Linked DNA regions of Oryctolagus cuniculus. The protein of the gene in region 3 binds, or shares a complex with, the protein of the main gene of each other region. Links are inferred from orthologs where the notes say so. Each region holds a gene or a part of one and is shown on either strand. Other genes may lie near its edges. The genes, in order: SF3B2, DDX46, SF3A1, SF3B5, SF3B4, HTATSF1 and SF3A2.

Region 1 (4,063 bases), on a different chromosome or scaffold from region 3:
CCCACCGCCCCCTGGGGATGAAAACAGAGAGGTGAGACGCATGGTCTCTCTCGGGACAGGAGAGTGGGGGCTGGGGGGGCTGTTTCTAGAGTTTCCGAGGGGGATTCTGTGGGAAGAGGGGGACTTCAGTTGTTGGGGGAGGGAGAGGTCCTGTTCAGAGCATTGTGGGGGAGGGCAGAGGCGTCGGGGGCGGGTCCGGGGCGGAGTTCTGGGGTTTCCTCTGAGTGCAGCCCGTGTCGCCCGTCTACTGCCCACGTCACCTGGCGGCAGCCTTTCACTCAGGAGGTGGGCGTTGGAGGGCAAGGGCCCTCACTGGGTGTCTCCGGCAGATGGAGGACCCCTCTGTGGGCCCCAAGATCCCCCAGGCTCTGGAGAAGATCCTGCAACTGAAGGAGAGCCGGCAGGAGGAGATGAGCGCGCAGCAGGGTGGGTGCCGGGCCTTGCGGGGCGCAGCAGGGTGGGTGCCGGGCCTGGCGGGGCGCAGCAGGGTGGGTGTCGGGCCTGGCGCGGCGCAGTGGCGGGGCCTGGCCAGCGCGACCCGTCCTCCCTCCCTGCCCCTGGGGGGCTTGGTGCACGCCTGCACTTGGTAAAGAGGTGACTGAGCAGGGCCCTGATCGCCACCCTCCCCCCTTGCAGAGGAAGAGGAGATGGAAACAGACACTCGCTCGTCCCTGGGCCATTCGGCCTCCGAGACCGAGGAGGATGCAGTGTCCACATCCAAGAAGGAGGTACGGGGCGGAGCTGGCCTAGAAGCCGGGTGTGGGCACCGGAGCAGCCCCCGGCGCGGTGTCCAGTGAGGGCTGGCCACTGTTGTGGGTTCTGTCCTGAGCCTCTCCCGGGTCTTGTTCCATCGCCTTGCGTCTCTTGGGTTCCTCGTGTCTGCTCACTGTGCTTCACGGCTAGGGGAGCTGTGCCTCGAGGGTACAGGAGCGTCGCAGGGGCACGCAGCCTGAGCGTGGAGGGCTCTGGAGTCACTCTCCCGGCCTCTGCACCACGTGCCTGGGGTCGCCCCCTGGGAGAAGCCAGCCTGAGCTGCTGGGGGAACGGTGGGGGTCAGGGCTTGGGGGTCAGACATGGTGATTGGTTTTCTCACCTGGTGGCTTTTCCTCACCGTGATAGAAAAACCGGAAGCGCCGGAACCGGAAGAAGAAGAAAAAGCCGCAGCGCGTGCGGGGGGCGCCCTCGGAGAGCTCTGGGGAGCGCGAGAAGGACTCAGGCCGGCCGCGCGGCTCGGACGCCCCGGCCGCTGACGTGGAGATCGAGTACGTGACCGAAGAGCCCGAGATTTATGAGCCCAACTTCATCTTCTTCAAGAGGATTTTTGAGGCTTTCAAGGTAGCGGGAGCGGCGCAGCCGGAGGGGCTGGGCGGGTGAGACCGGGCTGGGAGGTCTGGCCGGGGCGTGGGCCCCGCACTGGCCGTTGGCGTCCTCTGCCCCCCCCAGCTCACCGATGACGTGAAGAAGGAGAAGGAGAAGGAGCCCGAGAAGCTGGACAAGCTGGAGAACGCCGCCGCCCCCAAGAAGAAGGGCTTCGAGGAGGAGCACAAGGACAGCGACGACGACAGCAGCGACGACGAGCAGGTCGGGGCCTGGCCGGAGACGGCGCGCGGGGCCCATGGGCTGACCTCTGCCCGGGCTCTGGGAGCGCAAGTCTTGGGGTGGGCTGGGCCCTTAGATTCCGTCCGAGGGCCTTGCTCACGCGTGATGACTGTTCCGTGGCAGGAGAAGAAGCCAGAAGCGCCCAAGCTGTCCAAGAAGAAGCTGCGTCGCATGAATCGCTTCACCGTGGCTGAGCTCAAGCAGGTGAGGCCGGGAGAGCGTGGGAGGAGGCCCAGGAGGGCGCGCGGGAGGCCCGGAGACGTGGGTGTGGGTCCTCCACGGAGGAGGAGGGAGAGCCTCGGACCCGAGAGCTGCGCCCCCAGAGGGCCTCGTGTGCGTTTTGCAGCTGGTGGCCCGGCCCGACGTCGTGGAGATGCACGATGTGACGGCGCAGGACCCGAAGCTCCTGGTGCACCTGAAGGCCACTCGGAACTCGGTGCCGGTGCCGCGACACTGGTGCTTCAAGCGCAAGTACCTGCAAGGCAAGCGCGGCATCGAGAAGCCCCCCTTTGAGCTGCCGGACTTCATCAAGCGCACAGGCATCCAGGAGATGCGGGAGGCCCTGCAGGAGAAGGTGAGGGCCTTCTCCAGAACTGGAATCCAGACCCCGCCCGCGGCCGAGGGTCCCTCCTCCAGCATAGGAGTCAGCACTGCACAGCGCGGGCGGGCGGCGGAGGGGAGGGAACGGGCCAGGCAGCTCCTCGCTTCCTCCCCGGGTCCTCACCAGCGTGCGCTTTGCGGCCGCACAGTCCTAGTGCGAGGGGGTGACTTCTGGCAGGGACAGCCAGCACGTGGCTGTGGTGTGGAGGCCCGTGCAGTGCTCGGCGGGCCTGCCTCCTGATGAGCTCCGTTCCGCTTCTCTCGAGCCAAGTCGTGAGCCTGGGTTCTTGGTCACGGGGCCCAGAGCTCAGGCGGCCTCGTGTGCAGCTTACCCCATGGTGGGGTTGAATAGAGAGGGTTTGCTGACTTTCAGATGAGACAGAGGGCGTCCTCTGCTTTCTCATAGGAAGAACAGAAAACCATGAAGTCAAAGATGCGGGAGAAGGTTCGGCCCAAGATGGGCAAGATTGACATTGACTACCAGAAGCTGCACGACGCCTTCTTCAAGTGGCAGACGAAGCCGAAGCTGACCATCCATGGGGACCTGTACTATGAGGTTGGGGGGCTGGTGGCAGGGCTGGGCCTTGGAGTCATGACTGCGTAACCTTCCGGTAGAAGGTGTTAGCCCTGGGTCGGTGGTGCCACAGTCTTAGTCTCAGATGAGACGGAATCTGAAAGTTATTTTTATGTATTTTTTACAGATTTATGTTACTTACTTGAAAGAGAGTTACAGAGATGGGGAGAAACAGAGAGAGGGATCACTCTTCTCTCTGCTGGTCCACTCTCCTAATGACCTCAACACCCAAGGCTGGGCCAGGCAAAGCCAGGAGCGAGGAGCTTCTGGGTCTCCCATGTGGGTGCAGGGGCCCAAGCACTTGGGCCATCTTCTTCTGTTTTTCCCAGGCCATTAGAGAGGGCTGGATTGGAAGTGGAGCAGTCGGGTCTCGACCTGGCGCCCATATGAAATGCTGGCACTGCAGGCGGTGGCCTTACCTGTTGTGCCGCAGCACCTGTCCCGTGACTTGCACTGCTATGGAATGCTGGCATCACAGACAGCAGCTTAACCCACTCTGCCACAAGCCTGGCCCACAGCCTAGCCCTGGACTTTGAACTTTTAAAATCAGGTCATTTGGTGGGAAAATGCAGACCATGTCTTTGGAGTGGTTATAGTTAGAGTGGTGTGTTGGCGTAGGGACAGAGGGGCCAAGTGGTGGGTGATTTTCAGGAATACTTAATGTCAGAAGTGTGAGAAAAGTTTTCTTCTTTTCTGGCCTTGAAGTAGCGATCCACAGTATGGGGGTTTTGAAGGCTTTTGGGCTCATCCTGTTTAAGGCCCTCAGATGGGTGAGGAAGGTGCAGGCTGGCCACGTTGTCACCGTGGTCAGGGAGGCCCTGAGCGTCTGGCCTTGTGCTTGTTTCTTGCCCTTGCTGGGGAGCGATGTGATGAGAGTCAGGGTGGGAGCGGGCAGCGGTCCGGCGGCCTGGGATTCTGTGTCTGACGTGGTTGGGGCTTCTCTGCTCTCCTGGCCTCTCCTGCCATGGAGCTCAGTGCGTGCGTGTGTCCCCGCAATAGCAGCCTTTGCTTGATTCCCAGGGGAAGGAGTTCGAGACGCGACTGAAGGAGAAGAAGCCTGGTGACCTGTCGGACGAGCTCAGGATTTCCCTGGGGATGCCTGTGGGACCAGTGGGTGTCGGTCGGCTGGGGGGCGGGGCGGGGCGGGGGCGGCAGAGCAGCGCAGGGTAGGCAGACGCTCCCCTGTTCTCTCATGCTGCAGAACGCCCACAAGGTCCCGCCCCCGTGGCTGATCGCCATGCAGCGGTACGGACCACCCCCATCGTACCCCAACCTGAAAATCCCCGGGCT
Region 2 (4,063 bases), on a different chromosome or scaffold from region 3:
GCCAAATACCAGAGAACTGACAAAAAACAAATACCCAAAATTTTTTAACACAAAAACTTTAAAATTTAAGTTTAAAATGTTTAAATTTAAATTTTACTTGGGTCTGGCGCTGTGGTGTAGCGAATAAGACTGCAGTCTGCAGTGCCGGCAACCCATATAGGCGCCAGTTCGAGACCCAGCTGCTCCACTTCTGATCCAGCTCTCTGCTATGGTCTGGGAAAGCAGTGGAACATGACCCAAGTCCTTGGGCCCCAGCACCCTCGTGGGAGGCCTGGAAGAAGCTCCTGGCTCCTGGCTTCGGATTGGCACAACTTCAACTGTTGCAGCCATTTGGGGCGGGAACCAGCAGATGGAAGGCAAGGAGGGGTTTGCCCCCTTTCTCTCTGCCTCTCCTCTCTCTGTGCAACTCTGACTTTCAAGTAAAATAATAAATAAATAAATCTTAAAAAAAAGAAAGAAAAAAACCATCCATGGATTTCAGAAATTAAAAGGCTAACAGACTGTATTAGAGAGACAAAAAGACATAAATGTACTATCAGCTATTTAATTCCCCAATTGCCTTTAACAGCTGGGACTGGACCAGGTCAAAGCCAAGAGCCTGGAATTCAATCCAGGACTCTCAAGTGGGTGACAGGGACTCTAACTATCTGAGCTATCGCCTACTGCATCCCTGTATGCACAAAAGCAGGAAGCTAGAACCAGGAGTGGAGGTGGGACTTGATCCATCGTACTGTGAAATGGGATGTGAGTGCCACAAGAGGAATCTTAATAGCTCCATCCAATACCTGCCTCCCAAATTTTATTTATCTGAAAGGCAGAGAAAGAGAAATCAAGAGAGGGAGCAGAAGGGTGCAGCACTGTGGCACAGTGGGTCAGACTGCCACTTGCAATGCTAACATCCCATACGAATGCCAGTTCAAGTCCTAGCTGCTCCACTTCTGATCCAGCTCTCTGCTAAAGGCCTGGGAAAGCAGTAGAGGATGGCCAAGGTCTTAGACCCCTGCACCGCTATGGGAGACCTGGAAGAAGCTCCTGGCTCCTGACTTGGGATTGGCCCACCTCTGGCCAATGTGGTCATTTGGGAAGTGAACTTGCAGATGGAAGACCTTTCTTTCTGTAACTCTACCTCTCAAATACAGAAGTAAATCCTTAAAAAAAAAAAGGGGGGGGGGGTGGCAGAAAAGGAAGAGAGATGAGAGGGAGGGCGAGCGAGCATGCTCCTGTGCTGGTTCACTTCCCACATGCCTGCTACGGCCAGAGCGGAAGCAATGCGGGTCTCGTACACATCACAACCGCGTCCCAGGGTCTGACTGGCAGGAAGCCAGAGGCAGGAGCCAGACTGGCAGCAGAACTCAGGTACACTAGTGAGTCCTGCTGGTGTCTCAGGTGCTAAGTCCAGCACCTGTTCCCTCAATTGATCAATTACTTATTTATCTGGTTTTGAAAGGCAGATTTACAGAGAGAGAATCTTTCATCTACTGGTTCACTGCGCTAATGTCTCCCACAGCCAAGGAGCTGGAATGGAAGTGGACCAACCAGGACTTAACCAATGCCAGCTTTCACAGTCTTACCCACTGCACCACAACACCGGCCCTATTGCTATCAATTTTAAAAGAAAACAAACAACTCAAAAGGAAAATGAGGAAAGATTCGCTGAACATGTACTTAAGAAATGACAAAGTCCAAATGACAAGAAAAACATTAAAAACAATCACTCTCACTACTAATTAGGGAAACGCAAATTATAACCACAAGCAGCACACATTTACCCACTTGCTGAAAATAAAGAAGAAGTCTCAAATACTGATGGTGGGCGTATAATTAGCACAAACTCTCAGGAAAGTAATTTGGGATGATCTTTTTTTTTTTAAGATTTATTTATTTATTTGAATGTCAGAGTTACACAGAGAGAGGAGAGAGGCAGAGAGAGAGAGGTCTTCCACCAATAGTTCACTCCCCAGTTGGCCAGAACTCCAAAGCCAGGAGCCAGGAGCTTCTTCTGGGTCTCCCACGTGGGTTCACCCAGCTCCTGGCTTCAGATCGGCACAGTGTGCCGGCCACAGCGTGCCAGCCATAGTGGCCACTTGAGGGGTGAACCAACGGAAAAAGGAAGACCTTTCTCTCTAACTCTGCCTGTCAAAAAAACAAACAAACAAACAAACAAACAAAAAAAACAAAAAAACCCACAAACCTGAGACTAGTACTTTGCAACTGAATTACAAGCTTTATAACCTACTTAAATTAAATTATGCCACCAAATCTTGGTGAAGCCCAGTCAGTAATTGCTTATAAGAATAAATTTAAAGGTGGGGAAAAAAAAAAAAAAAGAAAGAAAAACGAAGCAGGGGAAGGGAGCCAGCTGCCCCTGCACGGCAGACACCGTGAGTGGTAATGTTACCGATTCTCAGTCTTCTTGCTTTTATTGCCAGGACTGGAGGATCGGGACCGTCGGCCCCGGCTTCTACTCCTTGAACGTCTCCTGTCTCTGCTGCGAGATCTTCTTCGTTCTCGGCTTCTGTCTCTCTCTCTACTTCTGGAACGTCTAAAAGGAGGACACACTTGTCACTCTACAGTCCAATGGAGATGTTATTTCAGATTATGATTTCGTCCATGCTAAAAGAAGCGTCTAAACTGCTACCATTATTAAAAGCAGAGGCATTAATAAACTATCAGAAGAAACAAGTAAACCCACCCTTACAACTACTCAATAAAAAAAATGAGTACACCAATTTCATAGTGACATGTGATGAGAAACCTAACAAATCTGTAGTGACAGCTACTTAACATCCATCATCTTAGAGCAGAAACCTAATTTTCAAAGACAACCCAAACCCAAGTAAGAAAACTGGGTGACCAAGGCTGTGAACAGATAACTGACGTGAGGATTAGGAGGCAGGAGTGTCTAGGCCGCCACTCACAGTGGCAGTGACAACACAGGACACACCTTCAGCCTCCCGAGTCCCAGTTTCCTGATGGAAAATATGGGGGTTTTGCTAGGTAATTTTAAAATCACTGTTGCTCTAAAATCTTGTGATTCTACTTTCAGACCAAAAAGTCTAAGACTGATGTTAGATGGCCAAGTTTACCTAACAAGTACTTCAAGTACTTGACAGAACTATGTAAAACTGTTGCTGGGGCCACAGAGTAGGAGACTGCATGTGCAAGGCCCACACTGTCCCGGGTGAGTGCCTGTGGTATCAAGGCACTCTGCTTCCAACGCCTGAAAAAGGCAAACTGTTTCTGTGAACAGTACACCGCACAACCTTATATTACTTTACTACTTTAATGGGAAAATGTACTAGAATTTCGGTGTACCTGGCAGGGGGAGGGAATTATTTTTACTTAAAGACTCTTTTCCACCTCCAGAAAAGTTTATGGTCACTCGACTGTGCAAAAAGAGCACATGAGCACGTACACATGAACTGAAAGCAAGAGTGTTTTGGGTTAGACTGCAGACAGCTGGCTAGACGACTGAGCACAGCAGAGGGTCTGCAGAAGGCCCTGGCTACTCCTCCCGTCTGCCGTGGCAGTCGCTGGGCGCACACTCAGCTCTCGGGCAGACCCGGAGCAGAGGCCCCACGAGTAGAGCACTTTTTCCCTCTTCCTTCATTCCTTACATCTCTGGGAGCTTCAGAAGTTCTCCTTCAGTTACAGGGAATATCAACTGAAGTAGCCAAACTGAAAACGCTGCTTGAGTCTTTGCAGGCAGATCTTGCAGTCTGATCCAGCAAGGCAGGGCTGCCAAGAAGCAGCCAAACAAGCCACTCGAGTGCCGTCCAGAGACAGCGGTGAGACAGTGGTGAGACACCCAGTGCCGCGGAGAAAGCCCCACCTCCGCCAGCGCTTACCTCAGACGCTTCCTGTCCCTGGACCGGGATCTTCTTTTATCCCTGCTCCGAGACCGCTCCCTCCTTCGATCTCTATCTCTGCTTCTAGACCGTCTGTCATCTCTCTTACTCCTTTTGTCTGAAGGTGAGCGACTTCTAGACCGACTTCCAGAGCGTCCCCGGGATGCCGATCGCTTCCGATAGTGGCTAGAACAGCAGTAAGCCAACGATTAAAC
Region 3 (3,129 bases):
AAGAAAAAAACCAGTATGGAATAAATGAAATTTTATAATTCCTACAGCAGTACATATCTTGGCACAATTAAAAATTTACTAAATAAATATACACGGTGCAGAGTTAAGCTGCTGCTTGTGACACCAGCATCGCATATATCAGAGCACCAGTTAAAGTCTCGGCCACTCTGCTTCCAATCCAGCTTCCTGCTAATGAGCCTGGGAAGGCACCAGATGATGACTCAAATTGGGCCCCTGCCAACCATGTGGAAGAACTGGATGGAGTTCCTAGCTCCTGGCTTCAGTCTGGCCCAGACATGGCTGTTGTGGCCATTTTGGGGAGTGAACCAGCCAATGAAAGATTTCTTTCTCTCCCTGTTGCCCTGACTTCTGAATAAATAAATACATTTTAAAGAAATCTCTCCATATCCCTGTGCTCTCACCAGGCAAGGCACTTACCCAGGGTCACAGAATCAGTCAGGTGATGGGTGACCCTGGCCTGCATGTGTCACTGCTCCCCATGGACCAAGAGCCACATCACCATCCTTGTTCTGTGGGCCATGGCATGCCGAAGGCATCCTGTGTGAATCGGTTAAGCACACTGGGCTACACCTTTGTAGGACTCCAGTGTTTTCCAAGGACAACACAATAAAACACTTCTGAAAAGCATAAGGAGATTCTATTACACGAAAGATATGATGGTGGTAAGTTATAAACCCTGGGAATCCTTAGAGCAGAGAGGAGCCACGTGGCGCTGTGCCAAGTTCCCACTGCCTGGAGTGTGCACAGGGCACGCGGGCCAAGAGACAAGTCTCATTACACCGATTTCACAAGAAAGATCCAAGAAGTTTATTAGACCACAGCAAAATACGAAACTCATTAACGACCATAAAAGCCATACTCAATCAGTCAAGTGCCTCTTGGCACAATGCACCTATCCTGTACGCCATCCCTGGATCTCAGCTCCAACTAACGAGTGCCTTCAAATCAAGACCCTAACACAATGGGATCCCAGGGAGTAGCTTCAAAAGTCTTGCTACTATTACTAACATGGGAAGGAGTCCGGGGAATGAAATGCGGCAGGACATTCTGAATGTCCAGAGAGGGCCTGTGTGTCTAGGACTGGAGTGGGGGACAGGAGACACAAAACAGCAGGGACCTGACAGCAGGTTTCTCTCTTCTACTTCTTCCTGCCGCCTCTCTCCTTGAGGGCCAGGTGGATGATGGCGCCATTGGCCATGTTGTAGTAAGCCAGCGAGTTGGAATCCTTGATGAAGATGCCCTGGAAAGAGACAGTGCGCCTTGGCGTGAGGTCCCTGGCCTTGGACACACAACGTGGCCTGTCCATCTGCATGGCACACCTAGCAAACATGAGGGCTTGAGGGAAGGCGGGGGACAAGGGACTGAAGGGCTCTGGCTCTACCCAAAATGCTTTTTCCTTCCTTCCAATCAACTGATGGACGCTCTTCCCCTTTGTCAATGTTTGGCTCAAAGCTCAACTTCCCAAGAAACTGCCCGACCAAGGCCATGGAGACCTTTGGAGATCACCTGAGCAACAGCCTCGCTTTGCAGGAGGAAACTGAAGCCCAAGGCGGGATTTGGTCAAGTCCAAAAGGGTGAACACAGCACGACTATGTGACCCACCAGGAAGCAGGCAAGGCTGGACTACACCACCTGAGGTCGCCCTGGCTGGGATGGCCTCAGCTCTGGGTCCATGACCTAGCACAGCACTCCCGAGGCACACCCCCAGATCCTGTCCCCAGTGCTCGGGGCAGAGGGTTCCCTGGACTCCACACAAGATGGACTGCCGGAGCCTCACACTGGCACGCTCTCCAGCTCTGGCACCCCCGCCAGCACCTTCACTTCTGGGACAACTCAGAGGATCACTGCCCATCTCCCTGTGCATGGGGGACTTAGCTTCTGGCACAGCAGTGTTGGGACCTAAGGGAAGGGACTGGCACGCTCTGACGCACCTCGTACTGCAGTTTCTGTTTCCCTGCAGGCATGCCTGTAGCTTCGTGAATCTTCACTTTGATGACAGAGACCTGTGGGGCCAAGGAGAGGTCATTCGTGCCCTTGCAAAGGCCAGCAGAAGGAAGCTGTCCCTTGAACCCTTGGTCCCCATGCACGTGATACCGCTGGTGGCAGCAACCCCTACCTGGTCTGTGAGAGGCAGGGTGAAGACCAGCACCTGCCCATTCAGCTTCCATTCCGTCTTATCCTGCATGTTGGGCACCTGGACTTTGATGGACACTGGACCCTGCAAAACAGAAGGGGATCATTATGCCTGGGGACCCCTGAGCCAATCAGGAACTATGTTCTGCCATCCTGAGGGCACCTGGCTCTGGCCTGATTCTCTACTGACACACTTGTCATATTGTACAAGTCACACTCCCATATCAAGATGTGCTTTCTGTTTTCAAGTCCTCCTGCGAGTCTAGAGCTGAAATGAAGAGGTTGGGTAAAAATGCTCTGTGACACCCAAGAAGCACAAGTGTAAAAAAAAGTGGCCTGTAAAATCCAGACCTGATTCCCAACTCGGCTCATAAGGTCTCAGCCTGCCTGTACAACAGAGCTGATCAGAGCGACAGCAGAGCCCTGCGGTGAGCCCCACACGGAAAAGTGTCCCAAGGTGAGCTCCACCCTTGCACTTCGCTAAGTGCCCAAAACAGGACTCTCTTAAGAACGAAAACAGAAGATTTGGTCAAACGCACTGAGCCGTCAGGGGCTGCGGCTGTTTCTCGCCTCCTCACTGGAGCCCAGCAGCTTCCCTGGGGTGCAGCAGCACCACGGTTCCCACCTTCCTTTACTCTAGCACCCCAGCAAGGGCGAGGACTGCAGGAAAGGCCACACTGAGTTCATGAACCACACCCGGGCTTGCTTCAGGTGTCCAGGGCCCTCTCACCGAGCTGTGCCCCTGTGCAGTGGCTCTCCCTATGGCCTCCAGAGATGCCACACCAGGGGACCACCAACACTGTCACACTCAGCTCCTCTAGGTGTTAACCCACATTTACTGGGCGTCCCATCAGTCAAAAGCTTCCAGTGGCTAACCCAGACCCTGGAGGCCACCACCACGGGAGTGGAATGAGGTCAGCCGGGCACCATGTGACTAGGGTGAGACTGCAGCCCCTCCCCTAGACACCCCAGGCC
Region 4 (3,073 bases), on a different chromosome or scaffold from region 3:
TCCAGTGGCTAATATTGAACAGTATAAAAGAATTAAAGTTTCATATATCAATGAGGATACTGACAAGAGTAAAAGCAACTTTTACAGCATTATATATGCTACTCATAGGTTTAAACCATGCCTATCAGCTATTGTTTATGGATACACAAACTTTCAGCAATTGGAAAACAGAATGATTGACATTAAATCCAGGACAGTGTCCAAGAGATGAGGGAAGGGAACGCGGAGAACGTTTATTTGCAGAATTTATCTCTTAAAAATCAAAACAAAATCAGGACAAATACGGCAAAATGTCAAGGTTTGATACACCTAGAGGATGAAGCCAAAGATATACCTTATAAATTTTCCACACTTTAGGAATGAATTGTCAAGCTGAAAAGAGCAAAACAAAACTGCTTTTTAAAGTTCTTGCTCTCCGGGCAGCGTTCCTCTCTTTGGCTGTAGTTGTCTCTCTATCCCTCAACTGTTTTTTGGAGAACACAATCTATCAGGCTGTACGAATATCCAAAAAGGATATCCTAAGATAAGTATGGGTTTGTTTTTTCCTCAAGTATTTCTACCGCCGTGAATTTTAAACCAAAAGGTAAAACATAAAGCGAAAATCAGATGCAAAGGAGGAGCCAACCGAAGGCAGACGCGTCGCCGCGGGAACAAAGCCTTTCCCGCGGGCGCTAACGGCTCCGAAGGGGACGCGGGCGCGCGCGGCACCTGGCCGAGTGCGGGCCGGGGTCGTGGGGGTCGGCGTGGAGTCGCCGGGGGCCACCAGCCCGAGAGGCGAGACCGAAGGAGTGTGCGCCGGGGGCGCCCAAGCGACTCGGCCCCGGGGCTGTGCAGGGTCACCGAACGGGAACGGCGGCCCCGCTAGAGCGTGGGACCAGAGGTCGCGTCTGCCGACCTCAGTAAGCCACCCGATTGTGAAGGGGCTACCGTGCCGCCTCGTCAGCGCCTAATTACACCAAGGGTTTATTTTCTTGGTTGCCTGTGCCACTGGCCCACTGGCCCACTTTCTCTTAGCACCGGGCCGACAACGCATGCTCCCCGCCTCTGGGGTTCTGCCCTCCATTCAGCTCTTAAACCGCGGTCTCGGAAGAGACCACAAATCCCAGCATGCAAGACGCTACGTCAGTACAGGGCCACCCACGGACCACCAAGTGGACCATCATGCAACGCTCTCCGAGGGCGGGGGGCGGGACTCTGTTAAAGGGGCGGGACAGTTTCAGTGTCGCTAGGGCAACTCCAATACGGCTTCAAAATGTGCTTCCGCTTCCGCGTCCTCCGCCACTCCGTCGCTGTGACGCAATTTCTCTGCGACTGAGCGAGGCTGCCGGTTCCGTGTGCTGGCCTTTCTCCGGCGGGAAACCCGAGACCGGTTCCTAACCCTCGTGCGACTTCTGACTTCGGAGCGAAAGGGAAAGCGGCAAGATGACAGACCGCTACACCATCCACAGCCAGCTGGAGCACCTGCAGTCCAAGTACATCGGCACGGGCCACGCCGACACCACCAAGTGGGAGTGGCTGGTGAACCAGCACCGCGACTCCTACTGCTCCTACATGGGCCACTTCGACCTTCTCAACTACTTCGCCATCGCGGAGAATGAGAGCAAAGCGCGAGTGCGCTTCAACTTGATGGAGAAGATGCTGCAGCCTTGCGGCCCCCCCGCTGACAAGCCCGAGGAAAACTGAGACGGCGCCTCCTCCAGCGAGCCTCCCGATCGCCGGCGTTGCCCGCGCGTTCCTGTCTCCAGTGGACTGGTTCTTCCGCGACTCCTTGCTTCTCCGGCCTTCCGGGTGCAGAAGTGCTCGCCGAGGTGTCCCGCCGGTGCTGTCTTCACGTGGATCCCTCGGGACGCAGCACCAGGACCGCCGGGGCTCCCTGAGAACTGCGGGTGAAGAGGTCCGAGAGCTGGCGGGCGTTGGGGAAGACGGCACTGGAGTGAGGGGATTTGGAGGCTCGTGTTTGACTTAGTTGATTGTCGCGTTGCCTTTTTCATAAAGTTTAGAATCTGTTAAGTCTCTTGGTGTGATCTGTTTGTGTTCCAGGGGAGAAGGCTGGGGAGGACTCGGAACCAAAGGTTCTGTGCGTGTGCAAGTAGGAGAGGGTGGGTGGAGGGCACAGAACCAGCCTGCCTTGCCAGGCACTGAAATCCGCCCAGCATGCCCTTTGGGGAGCTTCAGAAAGCCCCTGGAAGGTTAAGCCTCCGCCTGCAGTGCCAGCATCCTATATGGGCAGCTGGTTGGAGGCCTGGCCCCTGCACTTCTGATCCAACTTCTTGCTAATGCTCCTGGGAAAGCAGAGAAGGGTAGCCCAAGTGCTTGGGCCACAGGCACCCATGTGGGAGACCCGAAAGAAGCTCCAGGTTTCAGTCTAACCCAGCCCTGGCCATTGCTGCCATCTGGGGAGTGAACCAGCAGATGGAAGATTCTCTTTCTCCGACTCTGTATTTCTAACTTTAAAATAAATGAAATTTTATTATTTTTTTTAATTTTTTTATTTTTGACAGGCAGAGTGGACAGTGAGAGAGAGAGACAGAGAGAAAGGTCTTCCTTTGCCGTTGGTTCACCCTCCAATGGCCGCCGCGGCCGGTGCGCTGCGGCCGGCGCACCGCACTGATCCGATGGCAGGAGCCAGGAGCCAGGTGCTTTTCCTGGTCTCCCATGGGGTGCAGGGCCCAAGCACCTGGGCCATCCTCCACTGCACTCCCTGGCCACAGCAGAGGGCTGGCTTGGAAGAGGGGCAACCGGGACAGAATCCGGCGCCCCGACCGGGACTAGAACCCAGTGTGCCGGTGCCGCTAGGCAGAGGATTAGCCTAGTGAGCCGCGGCGCCGGCAAAATAAATGAAATTTTAAAAGCCCCTAGAAAGTTCGACTTCTAATTCCATTTTTCCATCAACTTTGTGAAGCCTCCTTGTGTTCAGAACTCAGATTTACCTGAAAAAAAATTTTCAGATCCATAGTGCCTTCAGGTTTGAGGTTTTTTTTATTATTCTACCTTTTTCTTTCATTTTAAACCGCATCCCTTGGGAATTTCTGACTGTTCTTCAGAAATGACAAGCTGGCAAGCAAGTTGTTCT
Region 5 (4,765 bases), on a different chromosome or scaffold from region 3:
GCTCTCACAGTCTCTGGCCTCCAGGATGAACTATCCCATCTTCAGGAACTATTAAGGAAGTGGACACCAAGAGCGTTTCCTGGTGATCACTCCAAGAAAAGAGATCCAAGTACCATTCTCTCTCATTCCTGCTGAAATTGCTGGCATTCTCAAAGAGCAGCGGGGGATCTGGGTTGAGGGAGAGTCCTAATACTGCAGTGTTTTGTATATGGCCTTGTTGCCTCAGCTTTCACACTCCAGCTCTTAAGCAAACTCACTTAGAATTGAGTTTGTTGTGGACGGTGGTGCTAATCTTTAATTCTTGTCCTTTTATTTGGTTCCTGAAGCTGTTGTTTCCTGGGAGTTGAAGAATTAAGAAACAAAACAATCCACAATGTAATTGCTTTATAGATAGCCAGCTATTTAAGTTGTGACACCAGAGACGCTGTTCACCAGTTCCAACAGTATGGCCTAAAGACCTCATTCTTGCCCCTTCTTGCTGCCTATTTTAATTCCAATTTCTGTTTCTTCCTGTATAGTTTCTTTTGGAAACAAAGTGGATATGAAACACACCCTCTCTTCCAACTGTACATTTTTGTAGTGGCATTTCTATTTAAGTTCATTAAAGCACAATATTTATACACATTGCTGGCACTGATTCTTGGATTTGAATGAAGGATCCTAGATAGCAAAGACTTGAGAAAAGGTCCCCATCGTATGATTTCTAAGAAAGGAATGGATTTGGACCACGTGAGGCTCAGAATTCTCATCTCCCATTTAGAGGCAGACAGCCAAGAGCATATTATGACGTTGCTGGGGCCAGAAAGTGCTCTTGGAGTTGCAGCTTTGGTCACACTCCATCCGGGGAGCCTCAGATTCTGCTCACACTCCGGCTCAGACATTACCTCGAGCCAGCCAGAGGCATGAGGCCAAAACTAAGACGCTTGTGGAGCAGAGTCCTTAGGTTGAGGGGTCCCTGAGAACCTTTTCCTTTGGGTGACAAAAGGATCAGCTGGCTACAAAATACACGAAGAGTTACTATTTTTAGCTTGAAAGAGAGGAACAGACAACTTCCATCCGCTGGTTCACTCCCCCAAATGCCTCTAACAGTCGGGGCCATGCCAGACGCAGACCGGGAGCGGGGAACAATCCAGGTCTCCGACATGGGTGGCAGGGACCAAACTTGGGGTTTCTGCTGCCTCCCAAGGTGTGCATTTACAGGAAGCTCGAGTCGGGGGAAACCGGGGCTCGGACCCTGTAATTCTTGACTGAGGATGCTGTGGCTTAACCGCTGTGCCAAACGCCCGCACCGGTGGGAGACGTCTGGCACTGCTTTCAGAGGGCCTGCGCTTTCCTGCCCCGCCCTCCTCGCTACGACCGCTCGCCCCGGAACCTCGGCGCAAATCCAAACGCCTCTGAACCGGGACGCCACAGCACCGTCAAGTCCCGCGGGATCCTAAGATGGCCGCAGCCGCTTCCGGCCCCGCCCCCGTCCGGGCCCCGCCCAGCGTCACGTAAGTCTTCGCCCCGGAAGTGGAAGTAGTGACCGCGGCCAGAGGGCGGAGCCGCTGCTTGGAGGCGGCGGGATTCTTTTCGCCATGGCTGCCGGGCCGATCTCCGAGCGGAACCAGGGTGACTGGGCGGGGAGACGAGTCCGGAATGGGCCCGGGAGGGTGGGAAGCCCCAGCTAAGGCCAGTAGCGTCTCCAAGGCGGGAAACTGGACCCCCGTCCCCCGGAGGGCGCGAGACTCGCTTCCGTGGCTGGTGCGGGCGGGTTGGCCGGGTGCAGGCTGAGGCCTGGACGTGTGATGTTTCGTGCAGTCCCCCTGCTGCCTTTTCTGAGTGGGACGGAATTTGCAGCAGACACTAAAGTGAACTTCAGAAGGGGCTCTAGGTCCTGCGAAGAGGACGATTTAGGGCTTATTTGGATGCTTTCCACCTCCCCCTTTTCGCTTCTGTCCCACATCCCCGCCTGCAGTTCCTCTAACTGGGTTCCATCTTTATGTCCCGGTCAGCTCCTTTCCTGTCATATTCGTCCCCATCCTAAATTCCTGCATCCTCCCTCCAGATGCTACTGTGTACGTGGGGGGCCTGGACGAGAAGGTTAGCGAACCTCTGCTGTGGGAGCTCTTCCTGCAGGCAGGACCGGTGGTCAACACTCACATGCCGAAGGACAGAGTCACTGGCCAGCACCAAGGTGAGTCCGCGCCAAGAGGCCACTTTATGTATCTGACAGCTGCTCCTGAGGGTCCCAGCGGTATTTATACTTGTTTCAGAATGAGCGACCAGAAGATTGCTTCCTCTTCTTTTCTCTTTTTTAAAGATTTATCTATTTACTTGGGAGGCAGAGTTACAGACAGAGAGAGGGAGAGACAGAGAGAGGCCTTCCATCCACTGATTCACTCCCCAAATGGCCGCACTGGCCGGAGCTGGGCCAGTCTGAAGCCAGGAGCTTCTTCAGGTCTCCCACCCTGGTGCAGAGACCCAGAGACTTGGGCCATCTTCTCCTGCTTTCCCAGGCCATCAGCAGGGAGCTGGATCAGAAGTAGGGTAGCTGGGACTTGAGCTGGCGCCCATATGGGATGCTGGTGCTGCAGGCAGATGCCCAACCCACTGTGCCTCAGCACCGGCCCCAGATTGCTTTCTCTTAATCCTCAGTTCACAGTTTGTTTCTAAAATCATTTTCTTGTTCTTTGTGATTGGAGGGTGGGTGAGTTTTACCCAGTTTCGGGTATCTTCGCTCTAGTTGCTAATCTCCTCTCTGCCTGCTTAGGCTATGGCTTTGTGGAATTCTTGAGTGAAGAAGATGCTGACTATGCCATTAAGATCATGAACATGATCAAACTCTATGGGAAGCCAATACGAGTGAACAAGGCATCAGCTCACAACAAAAACCTGGATGTCGGGGCCAACATTTTCATCGGGAACCTGGACCCGGAGATTGACGAGAAGCTGCTTTACGATACTTTTAGCGCCTTTGGGGTCATCTTACAAACCCCCAAGATCATGCGGGACCCTGACACAGGCAACTCCAAAGGTTATGCCTTTATTAATTTTGCTTCATTTGATGCCTCGGATGCAGCAATTGAGGCCATGAATGGGCAGTACCTCTGTAACCGCCCCATCACCGTGTCTTATGCCTTCAAGAAGGACTCCAAGGGTGAGCGCCATGGCTCCGCAGCTGAACGACTTCTGGCAGCCCAGAACCCACTCTCCCAGGCTGATCGCCCACATCAGCTGTTTGCAGATGCACCCCCTCCACCCTCTGCTCCCAACCCTGTGGTATCATCACTGGGGTCTGGGCTTCCTCCACCAGGTAAAGCTTTTGGTTCGCAAATACGTTTGTCTTGGGGCTGCAGTGAGGAGAACAAAGAACCTGGAAAGGGAAGATCTCCTGAGTCAGTGGGTGATGAGAAGGGAGTTAGGAGGTGGTGGGTGGGAGGGGTGTGAAGAACTCTGTCGGGCTTCTCCAGGGAGGTAGGATTATTTGAGTAGTGCAACATGGCTTGTGACCTTAGAGCACTGGGAGGAGGGGGCAAGAACTCACCCTGCATAGACAGGTCAAACTGGGACAGGTTCTTTAAAGGCATTCTTTGCCCACCGCCATTAATCCTTCTTCTGATTTCTATATAGGCATGCCTCCTCCTGGCTCTTTCCCACCCCCAGTGCCGCCTCCTGGAGCCCTCCCACCTGGAATACCTCCAGCCATGCCCCCCCCACCAATGCCTCCTGGGGCTGGAGGACATGGCCCTCCATCAGCAGGCACCCCGGGGGCTGGACATCCTGGTCATGGACACTCACATCCTCACCCCTTCCCACCAGGTGGCATGCCCCATCCAGGTAGGTGTTCTTGGCTGGGAAAGGGAGGGATGTGCGTGAACGAACAAAATGCTCTCTTTAGTTTACTACTTACCACCTGTCCTGTTGTGTAAGTCTTTCTGCAGAGTAGCCTATACTTGCTGTTTGTTTGTTCCCTGTTGTTTCCCTTCTCTCTGACTCAACCCCAGAGCAGTGGTCTAGGGGATACTTCGACTTCTTAGATGGTTTGCCCTCTGCTGTATTTGAAACTAGCTGTGTACTCCTGTTTGAAATTCTTGTCTGTTTTTTTCATCTGTTTTTTGGATTCTCCACCTGACACCTCAGTTTCAGTCAATTTGATAAACTGATTTTTCTCTGGGTCTAGATTAAGTATACACTGATGTCTCCTAGTCTGTATCTCTAGTTCATGATTATTAACAATCTAAATCCATAATCCTGTTGCTCAGTGGACAGATCCACTTTTGTACCTCTCCCCTTCAGACCTTTCTCTTTTTAAAAAAATACGTGTAGGGGCCAGCGCTGTGGCACAGCAGGTTAACACCCTGGCCTGAAGCTCCGGCATCCCATATAGGTGCTGGTTCTAGTCCCGGCTGCTCCTCTTCCAATACAGCTCTCTGCTATGGCCTGGGAAAGCAGTGGAAGATGGCCCAAGTCCTTGGGCTCTTGTACCCGCGTGGGAGACCCGGAGGAGGCTCCTGGCTCCTGGCTTCGGATCGGCACAGCTCTGGCCATTGCAGCCTATTGAGGAGTGAACCATCAGATGGAAGACCTTTCTCTTTCTCTGCCTCTTTTCTCTCTGTGAATAAAAAGAAAAAAAAGAAAAAAAAAAACAAAAAAAACCTAGGGAGTCCAAATGGATTGTGCGCTCACCTTTGCCTCTCTACTGAGCCGCCCTCCTGGCCTGCCCAGGTGTAATTCTCTCTTTTCAACCTTGTAACCTCGCTCTCCCCCAGTTTCAGCGACTGGG
Region 6 (4,720 bases), on a different chromosome or scaffold from region 3:
AGAAGATATACTTAGCAATGTTTAAATGAGCCCAATAAAACTCACATTATCTATATTATGAAAATGCCTGCAAGTTCAGTTCTCCAATAGTTCTGACCAGAACAAGAATGTAATGAAACAGAAATGTACTTAAAACAAAAATATAAACAAATACAAACCCAAACTACTATTTCAAAAACTATGGTTATGGTTGAAACATGGATTCACACAGTTGGCATGTGAGGAGCCAGGATTTTCTAGAATTCATACTCAGCTGCTAAGTTTCGAAGCAAATGTCACTGGAATAGTAGAAATAATTTTTTCTGAGGAGCTTTTCTCCATCCTCAATGAACACCTAACGGGCTGTCATTTTTAAATGGACTAATAAATACTCATTAAAATGACTGTTTTGGAAATAATGGTAAATATAAACCATATAAACAAAAACTCTTTGGACTCTTCAGTATTTTGGGGGAGTAAAGCGATCCTGTGATCAGAAAGTTTGAGAACCACTGTCTCTGGCACCCCATACCTCTCCTGTCAGATTTATTAGCCTTCCTGAGCCTGTTTCCCACGAGCTGTGCCCATCTTGTTGACTGTTGAGTCACCAGAGCCTAGTACATTGCCTGACACTTACTAGTTCAATAACTGTTATACCAAGTGACAAATATGGACTTCTTCGTTTTCAGCAAAGCAAGTAATTTGCAGGGAAAAAAAAAAGTTCTGTTTAGAACAAAAGCGTGCTGTATCTTTCTAAAGGAAAGACAAAGTTACTGGGCCAGCACAGGTTGTGTTTACACTGGGATGTTTATGTTTACGTTTCAAGTTTGGGGCTTGAGCACTTCTGAATCCTGGAGGACGAGGCAGGCAGAGTCCAACTCTTCGTCCAGAGGAAGGCATGAGACGATCAAACAGGAGTCTGAGATTAGGCAAAGGTTGATCCTTGTGCTTATCCTTGGTTTGTTCGTTCATTCAGTCACTGCACACTAGACAGCAAATCCTGCAGCAGGTGATTAGGCTACCAAGATGAGCCAGAGCCGGAGCCTATCCCAGGGCAATCAGAAACAAATAAGTAAAAGACATGACACCGAAGCAGGGAAGAGTTTTTGGGCGACGGAGACGCGACGTTTTTGCGTTTTAAGGAAGCGAGAGAAACCTGTCCTGCCGGTCCCACCCACTCCCCCAAGATGGCGCCCACTGCAAGGCAGTATTCCCACACCTTCCTTTGGGGTACCGCCCGGACTAGGTCAGCCAGGCCGAACCTTCCGAAGACCCACGGGGCCTAAGGCCCCCAAGGGACTGCATTGCCCTAAAGGACCTCATCTCGTCCACAGGAAGGGCCTGGTGGTCATCAACGCACGACAGCCGCGCATTCCTTGGCGCCCCGCCCCTCCGGACCCTGCGCCTCAGGCCTTCGTCGGCACCTTTTGACGTCATGGTAGGCGTGTCGGCGCGACACAGGACGTCACACCGCGCCCACAATGGCGACTGCGTCAGCCTGAGGAGGGCTCCGTTTGAAGTCATTTCCTGACGCTGCCGCGAGAATTGCAGTCGTCTCAGACCCGAGCGGCGGTGGCGGCGGCGCGCGTGCGCGCTCTCGCCGCGCCCTGGACCGAGCGGCGGCGCCGCCGAGGCCCGGTGGTTCAAGCCAGGTGGGCGGTGGCGGAGCCGAGCTGAGAGGATCGGCGCGCGCGCGCGCAGTGGGCGGGCGGACAGCCGCGCGGAGCGAGGGGCGGCGCGGCGGCGAGCGGTCCCGACTTCCCGGGGATTGCTGGGGCGCCGTGGGGAGGCGGGCCGGGGGGCCGCGGGGCGGGAGCGGAGCACGGCCGACCTCCTTCTCAGATCCCCTCTCTGGCGTCATTTCGGCCTCTTCGCTCGTCTGAACCCTGCTTCTGGGCTAGGTAGGAAACATGAGCGGCAACAACTTGGGTGGGAACGACGAGTTTGATGAGCAGTTGCGAATGCAAGAATTGTACGGAGACACCAAGGAGGGTGACACCCAGAACGATCCCGGCGGAGAACCCGATTCTTTCGGGCAGCAGGCGGCTGACACCCCGTACGAGTGGGACCTAGACAAGAAGGCTTGGTTCCCCAAGGTAAGCGAGTAGCACTGGCGCCACTGCAGAGCGGGCCGCCTGGCCAGCTTCACAGAGCACTTTTACATTTGCTGTGCTCACTCAGTCAGGTCTGTGGTCCTCACCCCCCTGGATGGTGACGCTTGTTTTTGTTGTGTCTTTTGCAGAGTTGATGTGTAAAGGAACGTAAATCTTTCGAATGGGGTATTAAATGCCTTTTCCGTGCTTTATTTTGTCTGTGAAGGTCACAGTTGGCTATTCTATTGATGACTTTTTTATTGCAAAGAGGAAAAACACACAAAAAATTTTGTAGCTGATCATCTCAGATAGCCGCCCTCGCTTACCTCACTTATCGTAGGAATTCACGTTTAGCATATGTCTTCGTTTACAAAAAGTTGCTGTTTATATACTTGTGCTGAATGAACTTTGTTTGCTCCTTGCTTTCTCTGCCTGCTGCGTTTGTCCTTAGGCATTTATGTTTGAACTTTACATCCACAAGAATACAATGAGGGATGCGCAGAGTATGGTTGGAAAAGATGTGTGCATGTTAGTTTGGAGTACTGAGAAATTGTTAGATATTTTATTTCTGCTTGGAAGTAACATAACTAGTGAAACTTGGTTCTGTAAACTTTGCTGTAGAAGCACTCTGTTATTCTGAGTCTCCTGTGGAGGCCAGAAAGACTACTAATAGCACACCAAGACATGCAAACCAACAAAACACAGCGTGTCTCCATTGTGTGATTAGACTGATCTGTGAAAAAGTCTTCATTTCTACTTTTCTTTCCCATTTTATATTTGTATATATTGAAAGTTCTCCAACTTTTTAAAATTTGCTATTTTACAAAAGTACAGGTAGTGTCAGCTTGAGGCAAATTGGCTTTCTTCAGCCTTCTGAGTACTTTTAACAGTAGTCTGGTAGTGGATTAATTTATCGTTCTACATTTTTGTGTTATTGAGGCCCTTACCTCTTCAAACTTTGAGTTTTAAATTTTCCCCATTCATGTGTGTACTGAATGTTGATTGAATTGGTGTGATGCTATAAGCACTTTTCTAACATTATATAATAGTCCATTTTCCCCCCAAAACTAGTTGGATTTGCCCTGAATTGATTCTGATTCTAAATGGTGATTTCATTAGTGATAGATTTCAAATGATCATTTAGCTTTGTAATTATGAGTCTCATTCTTTGTATGCCACATCACACTTCCATTCTATGTGCTCTTTGAATTCACATATTGAATAATTAAGTGGAAATATATGTGTGCTTCTATACAGTAAAAAAAGTGGATTTTGTGGTTAGCTTATTAGTTGACTGTAGGTTGTTATCCTGTCGTATTGTTACCTGGTATTTCCTTTGTTATATGTATGTGTAGCCTTAGTCAGTAGACTGTGGAGAGGTAGTAATTTATAAATGCATCAACTAGAAAAGGGACCAACATCACTTAAAGTGCTTTATTAGTACCACAGACTTTTGTCTTGATAATTTAAGTATTTGTATCAGGTGACCATTCTTGGATTTACACTTTAATCACTACAACTACAATTATTATTCACGCAGCGTCTTCGATGGTAAGTTATATAGCCAAATAGTCTGTAATATGACACAGTTTGAAGTTTATGGGTGGAAATAACTGAATTTCTGTGCATGTGTTTGTATGTGTATGCACACACGTGCATGAACTAAATTTCTTGTTTAGATCACTGAAGATTTCATTGCTACATATCAGGCCAATTATGGCTTCTCTAATGATGGCGCATCTAGTTCTACGGCAAACATACAAGATGTCAATACTAGGATTGCTGAGGAACCTCCACAAAGAAAAACTCCTGAACCCACTGATCCCAGAAAGAAGGGAGAAAAAAGAAAATCCGAGTCAGGCAAGTAGTTCTAGCTTGCAGAATATGAGTGTAAAAACTTAAAAGTGTGAATGTATACATAGAGTTACTTTTTGGAGATTTATAATAGCTTTGAACAAATGGCAAGATTTTTTTATTTAAATAATGGCAGATTCATAATTACCTGATTTGATTAGTTTATGCTCTATTTGTATATTGAAAAATTTTACTATAGCCCATGAAAATGTTTAAGTAGGGATCGGTATTGTGGTGCAGCAGGTTAAGCTGCCACTGGGAACCCGGCACCCCATATCAGAGTGTCAGTTTAAGTTGTGGCTCCTCAGCTTCTGATTCAGCTTCCTGTATCTGTATTCTGGAGGGGAGCAGATGACGGATCAAGTCCTTGGGCCCCTGCTACCCATGTGGGACACTAGGAGGAATTCTGGACTCCTGTTTTTGGCCTGACCCAGCCCAACCTTGTTTGTGGACATTTCAAGAATGAAACAACAGATGGAAGATATCTCTCTCTGTTTTCCAAGTAGATAAAAATAAATAACACATTTCAAAATGTACAAATATTACGTACTAGTCAAAAATCTAAATAATAAGCAACAATCAAAATAAACAGGCCTTTTTTTAAGACAATACTGCATCTGTCAAAAGATTCAAACACTTGGAAAGCTGGGTAGTGCTTTAAATGAGTTTGTCTTAGTTTTCTAAGAATAAGATAAAGTTCTTGTAAGTTTCAACAGACTGCCACTGTTTATATATTTTATAATATAAATCTTACATTACCTTGAGTTTTATATATTTATTTCATTTGTATTTTT
Region 7 (4,526 bases), on a different chromosome or scaffold from region 3:
GGACGGCCGGTGCCGCGGGGAGGGGCCTCGCAGGGCGGGGACCCCCAGAGGGCAGCCCCCGCCTCCGCCAGGAACCCCTCCCACGCAGGCTCGGCCGGGCCGGGGTCAGTCCAGCGCGTCCAGCCCGGGCCCGGGCCCGGTGCCCGCCGGCCGCCCGTCGCTGGGCGGGCTGCTGATCTGGAAGCGGGCCTCCGCGGAGATCCCGAACTGCTCCAGGGGGTCCTAGGGCGGCGGGCGGGGAGACGCGGTGACCCGGGGCCCGGGGCCGGGAGCCCCGCCCGCCCGGCCGCCCCGCACGCGCCCCCCGCACCTTGCCCGTCATCTTCTGGATCTCATTCCGGTAGAAGATGAGGCTCCTCCGCATGACCTCGTAGCTGCGGGAGAGGCCGTGCCCGCGGGGTCAGGCCGCCGCCCCCGCCGCGCCCGCCGCGCCCGCCGCCCCCGTCGCGCCCGCCGCGCCCGCCGCGCCCGCCGCCCCCGCCGCCCCCGCCGCCCCGGCCCCACCTGGCCCTGCGCAGCGCCTCCGTCCACTGCCGGCACTGCTCCTCGCTGCCGCACTCGAACACGTACTTCCTCTCCGGGTCCTCCAGGAAGCCTGCGGGAGCGGCCGCTGTGGGTGCCCGCGCCCGCCCCGCGCCCGCGCCGCCCCGCCCGGCCCGCGCACTCACCGATGGAGAAGCTCCGCGCCTCCTCCTGGGCGACCCGGCAGCGCTCCAGCAAGAGGGCTCCGACGGGCTGCGGGCACACGCGCCGTGAGCGGGGCCGCCCCGCGCCCGCGCGCCCCGCGCCGCGCCCCGCCCCCGCGCCCCGCGCCCCGCGCCCACCTCGGCCTCGTCCGTGCGGAAGTAGAAGAGGAAGTTCACCACCAGCTTCACCAGGCGCCGCTTCAGCACTGCGGGCACACAGCGGGCTCAGGGCGGCCGCGCGCCCCCGCGCCCCCGCGCCCCCGCCCGCGCCCGCGCCCGCTCACCGCTGCCCTTCTTGGGGCCCCGCATGCCCAGCTCAGCCGCCATCTCGGCCGGCTGCCGGGACAGCGCCTGCAGCTCCTTCTCGTTGTAGCGCATGGCGCCGGCGCTGCCCGGGACCGGGAACGCGCGCTGCTAGCTCTGAGCCCTCTCGGCCGCCGTCCCCGCTCGCGCCAGAAAGATCCCAGGTCGGAGCCCCGGAAGCGCCATTGCGCCTGCGCGCCACGGGCGAGTCTTGCGCGCTGCGACCGCGGCGTGCTGGGGCGTGGGTACACGCCGGGCAGCCGCGACACAGCCGCGGAATAAAGTGGGTCTGAGGCGCAAGCAGGATCGAAGGACCGCCGAGCGCGGGCGGACGGGGCGTTACCGGTTCCCGCCCCCGCCCCCAAGAGCCGACGCGGGTGCGCGCGCGGAGCGCGTTGTGCGCAGGCGCGCCTCGGGCACGCGCATGCGCACACTCGAGGGCCCGTCCTCCCTCCGGAAGTGCTGCGAGCGCCCGCGCCGCGCGTGCGCACTGCGACGTCGTGGCGGCGGCTCCTGAGGCGGACGGCGGAGGCCTGCGACGCGGGGCGCGACCCACACGAAGTAGGCGCGGGGGCCATCGGGGCCCCGGGGCGCCCAGGGTGGGCTGGGGGCGCGGGAGGGAGGGGCCGGGGCGGGCGGCGGGCCCCACGGCGACCCCGGCCCTCCGGAACTCCGCGGCGGGCGTCGCGGGGGTCGCGGGGGTCTCGCGTCCGTCCGGGGCGGGCTCCGGGGTCCGGGGAGCGGCCGCGGGCCTTCGGCTGCTCGGCGGGGCGGGCCCGGGCCGCGGGGCCGCGCGCGGGGGTGCGTGCCGGCGTTCCCGCCAAAAGCCGCCGGGACCCCCGAGGCCGCCCCCGCTGGCGCCTTTGTCGTCGTGGGGGTCGGTCGCGGGCGCCCGGGGGGCTGCGGGGCGTCCCGGGTGCGGACGGCGATGCGGCTGCGTCTTAGATTTCCCTCCCGCAAGCCTGCGTGCCCGGGGCCGCGTCTTCCCCTCGGTCCGCTGTCCGACTGTCCCTTCGCGTGGTTCCCCCTCCCCCAGCCCTGAGGTCCTGGGTTCGCGTCCCGATGGAGGGGCTGTGGGGCCGCCAGGGCTCGTGCGTGGACCGCGGGCGGGCCCGGGTCGCCCTGGGGTCAGCCGGGGGCGGCTCGTGCGTGGACCGCGGGCGGGCCCGGTAGCGCCCTGGGGTCAGCCGGGCCGCCCGCGCCGTGCCCGGAAGTCGGGGTCGCAGGGGCGGGGTCTCCTCCCGCCGGTCCAGTCCCCGGAGGCCGGGCCGGGCCGGGCCGGGTCAGAGCAGGTGCGGGGCCCGGGCCGGCAGCCAGGACTCGGGCCAGTGCCCGAATGGGGCCCGAGCGGCCCCTGCCGTCCACGGGGAGGCCCAGCCCTGGCTTAGGGGCATTGGGGAGTGGACGGCGGGGGGGCGCCAGGCGGTCGTCCGCGCCCCCGTTCTCCCCGACGCCCGCGGCTGGGCCCGGCGGCTGACACGGGAGAGCCCGCGTGGGTGCGCCCGGGAGGGGCTGGGGGCTGCCTCCTGGGGTCTCCGGCCCCCGCCGCGTCCTGAGGGCCCCCCCCGGTCTGGGCTCCGCAGGCTTCTCCGGCGCTGAGGTCCGCAGGCCGGCACCATGGACTTCCAGCACCGCCCCGGCGGCAAGACCGGGAGTGGGGGCGTGGCCTCCTCCTCCGAGAGCAACCGGGACCGCCGCGAGCGCCTGCGGCAGCTGGCCCTGGAGACCATCGACATCAACAAGGTAGGGCCGCCCGCCCGCCCCCCCGCGGGGCGCCCCCGACGCCCCCGACGCGCCCGACGCCCCCGACGCCCCTGACGCCCCTGACGCCCCGCGCCGCTCTCCCCCAGGACCCCTACTTCATGAAGAACCACCTGGGCTCCTACGAGTGCAAGCTGTGCCTGACCCTGCACAACAACGAGGTACTGGCCGGCCTGGTACCCTGCCCCCGCCCCTGCCTGCCCCCGCCCCGCCCACCGGCCGGCCTGAACCCCTCGCCCCCGCCCCGCCCACCGGCCGGCCTGGCCCCCCCCCTCCACCGGCCGGCCTGATCCCCCCCCTTCCCGCCCTGTCCACTGGCCGGCCTGGTCCCCCGCTCCTGCCTGCCACCGGCCTGGCCCCGCCCCCAGCCGGCCTGATCCCCCCGCCCCCGGCCTGACCCCCGCCTGCCGCTGCCCCACCCCCCGGCCGGCTTGGTCCCCCCCTCCCGCCCTGTCCACTGTTCGGCCTGGTCCTCCCCCACCCCGCCTGCCGCTACCCCGCCCACCGGCCTGGCCCCGCCCCCGGCCTCATGTCCCGCCTCCTCCACGCAGGGCAGCTACCTCGCACACACTCAAGGGAAGAAGCATCAGACCAACTTGTGAGTGCCCCCCGCGCCCCCCGGCTGTGACACGGGGGAGGGCCCCTTGACCCGCCCCCCAGCCGCAGGGCCCCGCCCCTCACCCCCCCCGCGGGAGCCCAAGGCCGGGCAGGGGGGCTCCTGCACCTGCGCCCGTGGCCTTGGCCTGGTGTGGAGGACCACAGCGCCCGTCTGCCCCGCCCCAGGGCCCGGCGCGCAGCCAAGGAGGCCAAGGAGGCGCCCGCCCAGCCCGCGCCCGAGAAGGTCAAGGTGGAGGTGAAGAAGTTCGTGAAGATCGGACGCCCTGGCTACAAAGGTGAGGGGGCGGGGCCGCCCGACACCAGCCCTGGGCGGGGGGGGGGGGGCAGGCGGGGACAGGCGAGGCCCTGGGCAGGGAGGGGCAGGCGGGGACAGGCGAGGCCGTGGGGCTGTGGGCAGGCGGGGTCCTGGGCACGGAGGGGCAGGCGGGGCTGTGGCGTGCAGCCCTGGGCCGGCCCTCTGAGCTGGGACCTGGGCCTCACCTGCCGCCCTGGGCGGGACGTGGGGCTGCGGGGGGGCCCCTCACCGGCCCTGGTGTTGCAGTGACCAAGCAGCGGGACACGGAGATGGGCCAGCAGAGCCTGCTCTTCCAGGTGGGCGGGGCCGCGGGGTCGGGGGGGGGGCCGCGGGGGCGGGGCCGGGTGGGGGCTGCGGGGGCGGGGGGCAGTGGGGGCTGGGGGCCCCTGACACTGCCCGCCCGCAGATCGACTACCCCGAGATCGCCGAGGGCATCACCCCCCGGCACCGCTTCATGTCGGCCTACGAGCAGAGGATCGAGCCCCCGGACCGGCGCTGGCAGTACCTGCTGATGGCCGCCGAGCCCTACGAGACCATCGCCTTCAAGGTAGGGCCCCCCGCCTCCCTCGGACCCACGGCGCCCCCTCCCCGCCCCGCCCTGGGTCTCGGCACCAGCCCCGCGCCCCCTCCCCACCCCAGGACCCACGGCCGCCCCCCCCCCCCAGGTGCCCAGCAGGGAGATCGACAAGGCCGAGGGCAAGTTCTGGACCCACTGGAACAGGGAGACCAAGCAGGTGAGCCCCGCCCCCACCCGGCCCCCTCCCCCACCCGGGGCAGCCCCGCTGAGCCCACCCCCCCACAGTTCTTCCTGCAGTTCCACTTCAAGATGGAGAAGCCCCCGGCCCCGCCCAGCCTGCCTGCCG

What was found.
Region 1: SF3A1 (region 3) and SF3B2 share a complex: the UniProt entries of both Homo sapiens proteins name them as parts of the 17S U2 SnRNP complex. The link is inferred for Oryctolagus cuniculus from reciprocal best matches to the Homo sapiens genes SF3A1 and SF3B2.
Region 2: SF3A1 (region 3) and DDX46 share a complex: the UniProt entries of both Homo sapiens proteins name them as parts of the 17S U2 SnRNP complex. The link is inferred for Oryctolagus cuniculus from reciprocal best matches to the Homo sapiens genes SF3A1 and DDX46.
Region 4: SF3A1 (region 3) and SF3B5 share a complex: the UniProt entries of both Homo sapiens proteins name them as parts of the 17S U2 SnRNP complex. The link is inferred for Oryctolagus cuniculus from reciprocal best matches to the Homo sapiens genes SF3A1 and SF3B5.
Region 5: SF3A1 (region 3) and SF3B4 share a complex: the UniProt entries of both Homo sapiens proteins name them as parts of the 17S U2 SnRNP complex. The link is inferred for Oryctolagus cuniculus from reciprocal best matches to the Homo sapiens genes SF3A1 and SF3B4.
Region 6: SF3A1 (region 3) and HTATSF1 share a complex: the UniProt entries of both Homo sapiens proteins name them as parts of the 17S U2 SnRNP complex. The link is inferred for Oryctolagus cuniculus from reciprocal best matches to the Homo sapiens genes SF3A1 and HTATSF1.
Region 7: SF3A1 (region 3) and SF3A2 share a complex: the UniProt entries of both Homo sapiens proteins name them as parts of the SF3A subcomplex of the 17S U2 SnRNP complex. The link is inferred for Oryctolagus cuniculus from reciprocal best matches to the Homo sapiens genes SF3A1 and SF3A2.

Annotation. Positions count from the first base shown.
Region 1 is NC_091432.1:5,759,557-5,763,619, reverse strand, and holds part of SF3B2 (splicing factor 3B subunit 2), read left to right. Parts: coding exon 1-31; intron 32-329; coding exon 330-426; intron 427-636; coding exon 637-728; intron 729-1,119; coding exon 1,120-1,335; intron 1,336-1,443; coding exon 1,444-1,581; intron 1,582-1,722; coding exon 1,723-1,803; intron 1,804-1,945; coding exon 1,946-2,173; intron 2,174-2,605; coding exon 2,606-2,755; intron 2,756-3,793; coding exon 3,794-3,883; intron 3,884-3,974; coding exon 3,975-4,063. UniProt on the Homo sapiens protein: Component of the 17S U2 SnRNP complex of the spliceosome, a large ribonucleoprotein complex that removes introns from transcribed pre-mRNAs.
Region 2 is NC_091437.1:22,983,223-22,987,285, reverse strand, and holds part of DDX46 (probable ATP-dependent RNA helicase DDX46), read right to left. Parts: intron 4,035-4,063; coding exon 3,849-4,034; intron 2,543-3,848; coding exon 2,399-2,542; intron 1-2,398. UniProt on the Homo sapiens protein: Component of the 17S U2 SnRNP complex of the spliceosome, a large ribonucleoprotein complex that removes introns from transcribed pre-mRNAs.
Region 3 is NC_091452.1:23,643,207-23,646,335, forward strand, and holds the end of SF3A1 (splicing factor 3A subunit 1), read right to left. Parts: intron 2,240-3,129; coding exon 2,138-2,239; intron 2,025-2,137; coding exon 1,953-2,024; intron 1,262-1,952; coding exon 1,160-1,261; 3' UTR 805-1,159; downstream 1-804. UniProt on the Homo sapiens protein: Component of the 17S U2 SnRNP complex of the spliceosome, a large ribonucleoprotein complex that removes introns from transcribed pre-mRNAs.
Region 4 is NC_091436.1:24,439,653-24,442,725, forward strand, and holds SF3B5 (splicing factor 3B subunit 5), read left to right. Parts: upstream 1-1,278; 5' UTR 1,279-1,422; coding exon 1,423-1,683; 3' UTR 1,684-2,010; downstream 2,011-3,073. UniProt on the Homo sapiens protein: Component of the 17S U2 SnRNP complex of the spliceosome, a large ribonucleoprotein complex that removes introns from transcribed pre-mRNAs.
Region 5 is NC_091438.1:48,025,719-48,030,483, forward strand, and holds the start of SF3B4 (splicing factor 3B subunit 4), read left to right. Parts: upstream 1-1,488; 5' UTR 1,489-1,577; coding exon 1,578-1,611; intron 1,612-2,047; coding exon 2,048-2,176; intron 2,177-2,752; coding exon 2,753-3,295; intron 3,296-3,612; coding exon 3,613-3,819; intron 3,820-4,765. UniProt on the Homo sapiens protein: Component of the 17S U2 SnRNP complex of the spliceosome, a large ribonucleoprotein complex that removes introns from transcribed pre-mRNAs.
Region 6 is NC_091453.1:114,293,162-114,297,881, forward strand, and holds the start of HTATSF1 (17S U2 SnRNP complex component HTATSF1), read left to right. Parts: upstream 1-1,497; 5' UTR 1,498-1,631; intron 1,632-1,880; 5' UTR 1,881-1,889; coding exon 1,890-2,075; intron 2,076-3,751; coding exon 3,752-3,932; intron 3,933-4,720. UniProt on the Homo sapiens protein: Component of the 17S U2 SnRNP complex of the spliceosome, a large ribonucleoprotein complex that removes introns from transcribed pre-mRNAs.
Region 7 is NC_091447.1:59,110,184-59,114,709, forward strand, and holds the start of SF3A2 (splicing factor 3A subunit 2), read left to right. Parts: upstream 1-1,394; 5' UTR 1,395-1,550; intron 1,551-2,174; exon of another isoform or gene 2,175-2,281; intron 2,282-2,572; 5' UTR 2,573-2,606; coding exon 2,607-2,732; intron 2,733-2,839; coding exon 2,840-2,911; intron 2,912-3,301; coding exon 3,302-3,348; intron 3,349-3,533; coding exon 3,534-3,643; intron 3,644-3,909; coding exon 3,910-3,959; intron 3,960-4,069; coding exon 4,070-4,210; intron 4,211-4,328; coding exon 4,329-4,397; intron 4,398-4,465; coding exon 4,466-4,526. Other genes in the region: PLEKHJ1 (pleckstrin homology domain-containing family J member 1), read right to left, coding at 106-222, 311-374, 505-595, 669-735, 825-892, 971-1,064. UniProt on the Homo sapiens protein: Component of the 17S U2 SnRNP complex of the spliceosome, a large ribonucleoprotein complex that removes introns from transcribed pre-mRNAs.